Linked DNA regions of Danio rerio. The protein of the gene in region 2 binds, or shares a complex with, the protein of the main gene of each other region. Links are inferred from orthologs where the notes say so. Each region holds a gene or a part of one and is shown on either strand. Other genes may lie near its edges.

The links.
Region 1: the proteins of cct4 (region 2) and pdcl3 are in contact, whole or in part, in a cryo-EM structure (PDB 8I9Q), measured with the Homo sapiens proteins. The link is inferred for Danio rerio from reciprocal best matches to the Homo sapiens genes CCT4 and PDCL3. Residues at the interface, in NP_006421.2 of Homo sapiens: Val266, Gln271, Met272, Leu276, Glu279, Arg280, Leu312, His315; in NP_076970.1 of Homo sapiens: Ala70, Ile71, Tyr74, Arg75, Arg78, Leu79, Trp82, Lys86.

What each region holds. Positions count from the first base shown.
Region 1 is NC_133184.1:58,526,622-58,530,262, reverse strand, and holds the end of pdcl3 (phosducin-like protein 3), read left to right. Parts: intron 1-91; coding exon 92-235; intron 236-382; coding exon 383-591; intron 592-2,241; coding exon 2,242-2,390; 3' UTR 2,391-2,424; coding exon of another isoform or gene 2,425-2,445; 3' UTR 2,446-3,102; downstream 3,103-3,641. Other genes in the region: nms (neuromedin-S), read right to left, coding at 3,331-3,371. UniProt on the Homo sapiens protein: Acts as a chaperone for the angiogenic VEGF receptor KDR/VEGFR2, increasing its abundance by inhibiting its ubiquitination and degradation.
Region 2 is NC_133176.1:57,157,342-57,161,272, forward strand, and holds the start of cct4 (T-complex protein 1 subunit delta), read right to left. Parts: upstream 2,946-3,931; 5' UTR 2,790-2,945; coding exon 2,681-2,789; intron 1,784-2,680; coding exon 1,731-1,783; intron 1,605-1,730; coding exon 1,515-1,604; intron 443-1,514; coding exon 334-442; intron 1-333. UniProt on the Homo sapiens protein: Component of the chaperonin-containing T-complex (TRiC), a molecular chaperone complex that assists the folding of actin, tubulin and other proteins upon ATP hydrolysis.

The DNA.
Region 1 (3,641 bases), on a different chromosome or scaffold from region 2:
GTGTGTGTTTGTTTGTATGTGTGTGTTTGTGTGTGTGTGTGTGTTTGTTTGTTTGTTTGTGTGTGTGCGTGCGCGTGCGTGTGTGTGTCAGACAGAAGAGGCTGGCGGAGTGGAAAGCTAACCAGATGAAGAATGTTTTCGGGGAGCTGAAGGAGATCTCGGGGCAGGATTACGTGCAGGAGGTCAATAAAGCTGGAGAGGGAATCTGGGTGGTGCTGCACCTCTACAAACAAGGGTGAACACACTCACACACACTCACACACACACACACTCACACACACACACACACACACTGATGTTTAGTTGAGTTGTACTGTATTGTCAGTGTTTGAGTAATCAGTGAAGCGTTCGTCAGATGACTGTTGTGTGTGTTGTGGTTCAGGATCCCGCTGTGTTCGCTCATTAATCAGCATCTGGCTCAACTGGCCCGCAAGTTTCCTCAGAGTAAGTTCCTGAAGTCCATCTCCAGCACCTGCATCCCCAACTACCCCGACCGCAACCTGCCCACGCTGTTCGTGTACCGCGACGGAGAGATGAAGGCGCAGTTCATCGGCCCGCTGGTGTTCGGAGGGATGAACCTCACCTGTGACGGTCAGTGTATAAACAGATCAGCAATAAGACACCTCACTTACTGTCTGTCTTGTTTGTAGTCCAAATGTCTGTACATACTTAAATCAAGAAGCCTTTTCTAGACAAGCAAAAAATGTGTTGTTTTCAGAAATAATGAGTCAAAATGAAGAGAGTTTCTCCTTAAAACAAGCAGAATAATCTGACAATGGGGGAAGCCCAAAAGTGTAAATGAGATCAGGGAGATTATTTCACCTGTTTAAATAGAAAAAAAGCTGCTTTCCTGTAGTACTGACACATTGTGCTCAAAGTCAAATATTTAAAGTTTTTTTTCCTGATATACATATATATATATTATCATCTACACTCACCGGCCACTTTATTAGGTACACCTTACTAGTACCGGACCCCTTTTGCCTTCAGATCTGTCTTAATCCTTGGTGTAGATTCAGCAAGCTGCTGGAAATATTCCTCAGATTTTGCTCCATATTGTCATGATAGCATCACACAGTTGCTGCAGATTTGTCGGCTGCACATCCATGATGCCAATCTCCCGTTCCACCACATCCCAAAGCTGCTCTATTGGATTGAGCTCTGGTGACTGTGGAGGCCATTTGAGTACAGTGAACTCATCGTCATGTTCAAGACACCAGTCTGAGATGATTGAGCTTTATGACATGCTGCGTTATCCTGCTGGAAGTAGCCATCAGAAGATGGAGACACTGTGCTCATAAAGGGATGGACATGGTCAGCAGCAATACTCAGGTAGGCTGTGGCGTTGATGCTCAATTGGTACTAATGGACCCAAAGAAAATCTCCCCCACACCATTACACCACCACCACCAGCCTGAACCGCTGATACAAGGCAGGATGATCCATGCTTTCATGCTGTTGAGCCGAGCATCTGAATGTGTGAGCAGAAATGGAGACTCATCAGAGCAGCAACGTTTCTCCAATCTTCTATTGTCCAGTTTTGGTGAGTCTGTGTGAATTGTAGCCTCAGTTTCCTGTTCTTAGCTGACAGGAGCGGCACCCGGTGTGCTCTTCTGCTGCTGTAGCCCATCCGCCTCAAGGTTGGACGTGTTGTGTGTTCAGAGATGCTCTTCTGCAGAGCTCGGTTGTAGCGAGTGCTTATTTGAGTTACTGTTGTCTTTCTATCAGCTGGAACCAGTCTGGCCATTCTCCTCTGACCTCTGGCCTCATCAACAAGGCATTTGCGCCCACAGAACTGCCGCTCACTGGATATTTCCTCTTTGTCGGAGCATTCTCTGTAAATCCTAGAGATGGTTGTGAAATCCCAGTAGCTCAGCAGTTTCTGAAATGCTCAGAGCAGCCCGTCTGGCAGCAACCAAATCATTACCTGCCAGTACAGTCCTATGATTATATTCATATTTCCAATAATGTTGTGCTGAGATGGCCCGTCACTGTGAGGAAACTCATTATTGTGTAGATACCATGAATACAGTTTTGAGTTGTGATTATGTAATGACGTCATCACACAATGATGTCACTTCCTCATTTAACAATGTTTGCTCCCCCTTTAGCAACGTACTCTAGTTGGCAGCAGTGGAGGAAGTGTCAATATTTGGGGTTATATGGTTAATATCTGCGGTAATTGATCATGTTTGTGTGTTATTTCCCTTCTTGAGTATATGTGTGTGTGTGTTTGAGCAGAGCTGGAGTGGCGTCTGTCAGAGTCTGGAGCTGTGAAGACAGATCTGGAGGAAAACCCCAGAAAACAGATCCAGGATCAGCTGATGACGTCCATTCGCTGCTCGGCAAACACACACCGAGACGGAGAGGAAGACTCTGATGAAGACTGATGCTGAACACACACACACACACACACACGGAGAGGAAGACTCTGATGAAGACTGATGCTGGACACACTCCAAGACAGAGAGGAAGACTAATGTTGGAGGAACACACACACACACAAGTCCCTTACGAGTCTGTGTGCATTCGGGTTTAAGTCCCCACAAGGATATAAAAACTAGTACACACACACATACACTCTCTCTCTTTTGCACACAAATACACTCTGTCACACACAACAACACAATCTCACACGCAGGTCTGTTTTTAAGAGTTGTGGGGACATTCCGTAGGTTGTCATTGTTTTTCTACTGTACACACTGTATGTCCTCTCACCTGCGCCCAGGTTACAGGTTATAACTTCACCGTTACAGGAAGCTGTGCAGTTCTGCCTTCTGAAACCTCATTGTGTGATTTATAAGTACTTCTTAAGATATATAACTACTTTAGTACGTCCTCACAATTCACCTTCTCCAGCAGTGCCCATGACATTATACACTTCCCTTGTGTTTATAACACACACACACACACACACACACGTCTGTGCCATCCAGAAGAGCAGGAGTGGGTCTGAAACACACTTGTAAACCAGCCCTCAGTAAACAGACTGGTGGCCATGTTTGCGTTTGCTTTATTTTATATGAGATTTGTAATTATGCAGCCTTTTTCAGTTCAGCGCTCGTCTCCATTTAATATATAAAAGTGGTTTATTTGAGAGAGTTTGCAGTGTGTTTGTGTGTTAATGACTCTCTCACACACACATTTCCACTAAAGTGACGCTCGAGGACAGAAATAAAAACAACAATTTCAGCTCATTTCACTTCAATCTCCTGTCTGCGATGGACTTGAAGACCTTCAGCAATAATAGAGAAAACAGCAGCAAGCATGAGGTTACGTTTATTAAAAGAGCTTTAATGAAATCAGGTGCTGTTCATGATGTTTGTAGATTTACGGAGTCAGAGAGAATCCCAGATATGAACAGAGGATGTCTGTGGAGGAGAAGAACACATTCATTTACACAATTATCTCATACCTGAGTACAGGACTCGCTCCAGAATAGCAGTGCATTTACACCATGTGCCTTCATTTTCCTGGATATATAATAGATGTGTCATTTACAGTAAACTTAATCCATTATTATTGTGAACTAATGCAAGACTGGAAACGTTTGTTGCTAATCGTTTAACTTAATTTTTAAACGAATAACAGTTGATGATAACAGAATTGATAATAGGAATCAACAACAACACATTCGACGG
Region 2 (3,931 bases):
TGTGCAGCTTTATTTCATTTATTCAAGTGAGAATGACGTCGACTAAAACTCTGTCGTACACCAAGCCCACCAAAAGGGTACCCTTGGTAGTGGAAACACAAGCCTGTTAAAGGTGACCCGTACTGTACCAGTCAGTGGAAACGGGCCATTAGTGGAAACGAGCCAAAAGTGCAAGTTTTTGATGTATATACGATGCTTCTAAATGGAAATTGTCACTAATTTGGAGCACATCAGCGTATTGATATCCTAACATACTGAAACTAACATCTAAACAACATTTAATTTAATTTCACAGGACCTTTAATTATGCACTTAAACAAAACTAAAGCTTACCTTTCTGTAGCAGTTTAGCGCAGGCATCCAGAAGAGCTCCAGCAATCACCACCACTGATGTAGTGCCGTCACCAGCCTCGATATCCTGAGCTTTAGACAGCTCAACCATCTGAAACACCCACAGATATCCCATTACAATGCAGATATTATCAGGATATATACAGAGGGAATCATTTGCAATTTGATTCAATTCTTAAAAGTCAAGACGCAATTCAAAACAAAAGCACTGCTCTCACAATTGAGGTGACTTCTTTTAGTATAACATCATCTCACCTAAAGTCAGTGTGAAATCTGAACTTGCATTGTTTATTTTGCTGGTGCACTTTGTTAATTTTTAGGTAAACAATTAATCCGTTCTAAATGTTTATTTTGGTAATCTTCAATCAAAGTCTGACCATTTGCTTCTGTGTTTGGATTGGCCAATTCTCTGAGGATGTCAGTTTGATGCTTCAGCCAAAATATTCTTAGCCACGCCTCTCTTACTGTTAATTTGCTATGAGCGAATAAAGCTGCTGTCATACTAGAGTTTGTGTGAGCAAAATTCTGTAGTACGGTACTGCAAAAAAGACCGGGATTAAACAAGATGATTAGACATTTAAAAAAGCGAGCGACTGGTCCGTATTTTAAAGTTCTGTCCAGAGAGGTCATGTTTTGATCCTCGATTGGTCTCATGCAGTCAAGTGATGTGATTTCGCAGGTCAGAGTTCGCCAAGCTTAAACTTTCCGATGCAGCAAACTGCAAAACTTGATGCACGAGCTTGCGTTTCCGATCTGACGCATTCAAGTGCATATGAATGAAAGTCTATGGGGAGAAAAGTGCAGTGTGACCGCAGCTTCATGCGAAATAGAAAGCCCCGCCCCCTACTTAATATTCAGTTTCAGATAGAAGTACACCAACATACTGAACTTCTGGCTAACGCAGTTTTTTTTGCCTTCATTTGTAAAGTATTTTTATATTATTATTTTTTTTATCTGTTCATCATTTATTAACTATATTGTCTGTATTTCTGGTATATTTACATTCCTCTTGTAGTGCTTTTGTAATCTGTATCAAAGCATTTATACAAAGCATTATTAATGAACTAACAAGGCCAAGCTCCGTAGAAAGTCTAACAATGTCAATCAAAAACAAACATGTTCAGGTTATTTCACCTAAATAAAGGAAAACAACTGTGATTTACCATTTTGGCTGCGGGATGCAGCACCTGCATCTGTTTGAGGATCGTGGCTCCGTCATTAGTGATGGTGACGTCTCCTTTCCCATCCTGGATCTGCAGAAAACTCAATTATTTACTCAGGCTACAGACAGTACAGTCACTTATATACAATTCAAGTCATGAAATAAATACATATAAAGTCAGGAGATTTAGACAAATAAAAAAAAAAGGCAAACATACCATTTTATCCATGCCCTTAGGGCCCAGACTTGTTCTGATGGCATCTGCGACAGCTGTCAATAGAAAAAGGATTCATCATTAGCCACCAATCCTCACTTGCTGACATTCACTCGTGTCCATACAGCAAAAAATCTTGATAGCAACTGTAATTATCGCAGCAGAGCCTGAAATACTGTTTGGTCATCATACATCTTTAAAAACTAAAAGATAATGCATTTAAAATCAAGTTATTGGCAAAAAAAAAAAAAAAAAACTAAGTACAAGATTTCTACTTAATTTTGTATTTTTCTGTTTATTACAATTTTTAAAATATTTTCCCCAACACGTGCTGTATTTGCTGCACTGATAACAGATGTACTAATATTTGGACTGATAGTTCCCGTTTTTGACTTTGGCACTGACTAAACCAATGGATATGCACAAATATATTATTGTAAGACGTCATATAAAAAATAATATTTTAAAATAGAGACCTGTGAGGGTTTTTATGTGATGTGCTTTAGACACATTTATGCTGAGCACTGATTATATACAATGTATTATTTTATTTTAAGAAGCCTCATTTTCCTTAACAGAAATTGGTGAGATGAACATTTTTTAATTACACTAATAACAATCACACAAATATGCACCAATAACGTACGTTACTTTTTAGTGTAACGTTAGCTACCGTTACATGTGTTGTCATAAAGAAGGCCACACCTTATATGGACTCATGTGAATCTGCATTGTAATAACCAGATTTAACTTCACATCTAATTTCAAAAACATTCACTTCTGCAAAAATCTAAATATTATTATTTTTACAGATACGGCCATGTTTATGACGATATAGCAATTTAATGGGCTCACGCTTCCGCTACATTGTCATGAGGTATACCAGTAAAATAAAACAAGTCCCTGTCAGTGTTTTACAATAAAAACTCCTCCTGAACGATCAGATTTCTCACCTTTCCCAGCGTTTATGTTGCTGTAGCGGATCTGGGCAGGTTTGTCCCGGTCCACATACGCGCTTCCTTTGTTTTTGATCCCGCTTGCAGCCACGACGGCTTCAGGCATGGCTGCTAATATTTATATGGTTTTAATCCGCGGAGATCACAGACGCAGATGGACGGTTCCCGGTGTCTCTAGCACGTCTGTCCGGTACGGATGGCCTCAGATTACGATCCGCTCCGAAAATCTCACGCAGAACCTTCCAGAACCACCGGTCGCGACGGGAACAGAAAAAGGACCCACGTGGCGCGTGATGATGACGTTTGGGGGTGTTTGAAAAACATGCCGCATGCCGATCACGGTTGTGGTGAATAAATGTGTTATAGTGCCTCCGTTACACACATTGATTTACTGCTATTTATAATATATGATTCGTTTAAATGCTCTGGGGTAAATCTAAAGTTCGCTAAACTCTAAATTGTGCTTGTGGACTAATGTTTTGGCGGCTTGTGGAGCGGCCGGTGTTCAGTGACTGAGGGAAGATTTTGAAGGGATTCAGTGAAGGTAATGTGACGTTTGGAAAGGGTTAATGTAGTTAGAGCTATTTGTGTTTGTCATGCACTTATCGTGTAATATAACTGATGTATGCTTCGTGTCTCTAGACAGAGATCTTTTCATAAACATTTGGTTGTAACCATATTATCATATCCCTTATATAATGGTGATTTAACTGTTATTAAGATATTTAACGCCATTGGGAAATATGCACATCTTAAGCTTAAGTGTAGTTTTTTAAATTATTAAATATAATTTAAAATAGCTTGAATGTTGTGTTATGAAAATGAACTAAATACTATTTTCATGTTTAATATGAATATTTAAATTTTCCAAAACTGGTTTTACTATAAAACCACAGGAAAATCATCCAAAACATGTCAAATTAGCATAAATAAAAGCTGTAATATTTGTAAAAGCTTTCACACTAGCACTTCTGGTCCGCACCCGGGTTTGTTTGACGTCATAGTATGGTACGTTTAGCCCAGGGGTCACCAATCTCGGTCCTGGAGGGCCGGTGTCCCAGCAGGGTTTAGCTCCAACTTGCCTCAACACACCTGCCTATATGTTTCAATTATACCTAGTAAGACCTTGATTAGCTTGTTCAGGTGTGTTTGATTAGGGTTGGAGCTAAAATCTGCAGAACACCGGCCCTCCAAACAAGTTTGGTGACCCCTGCGTTTAGCTAGTGTGAACGTGTTTTCTGAACTCGG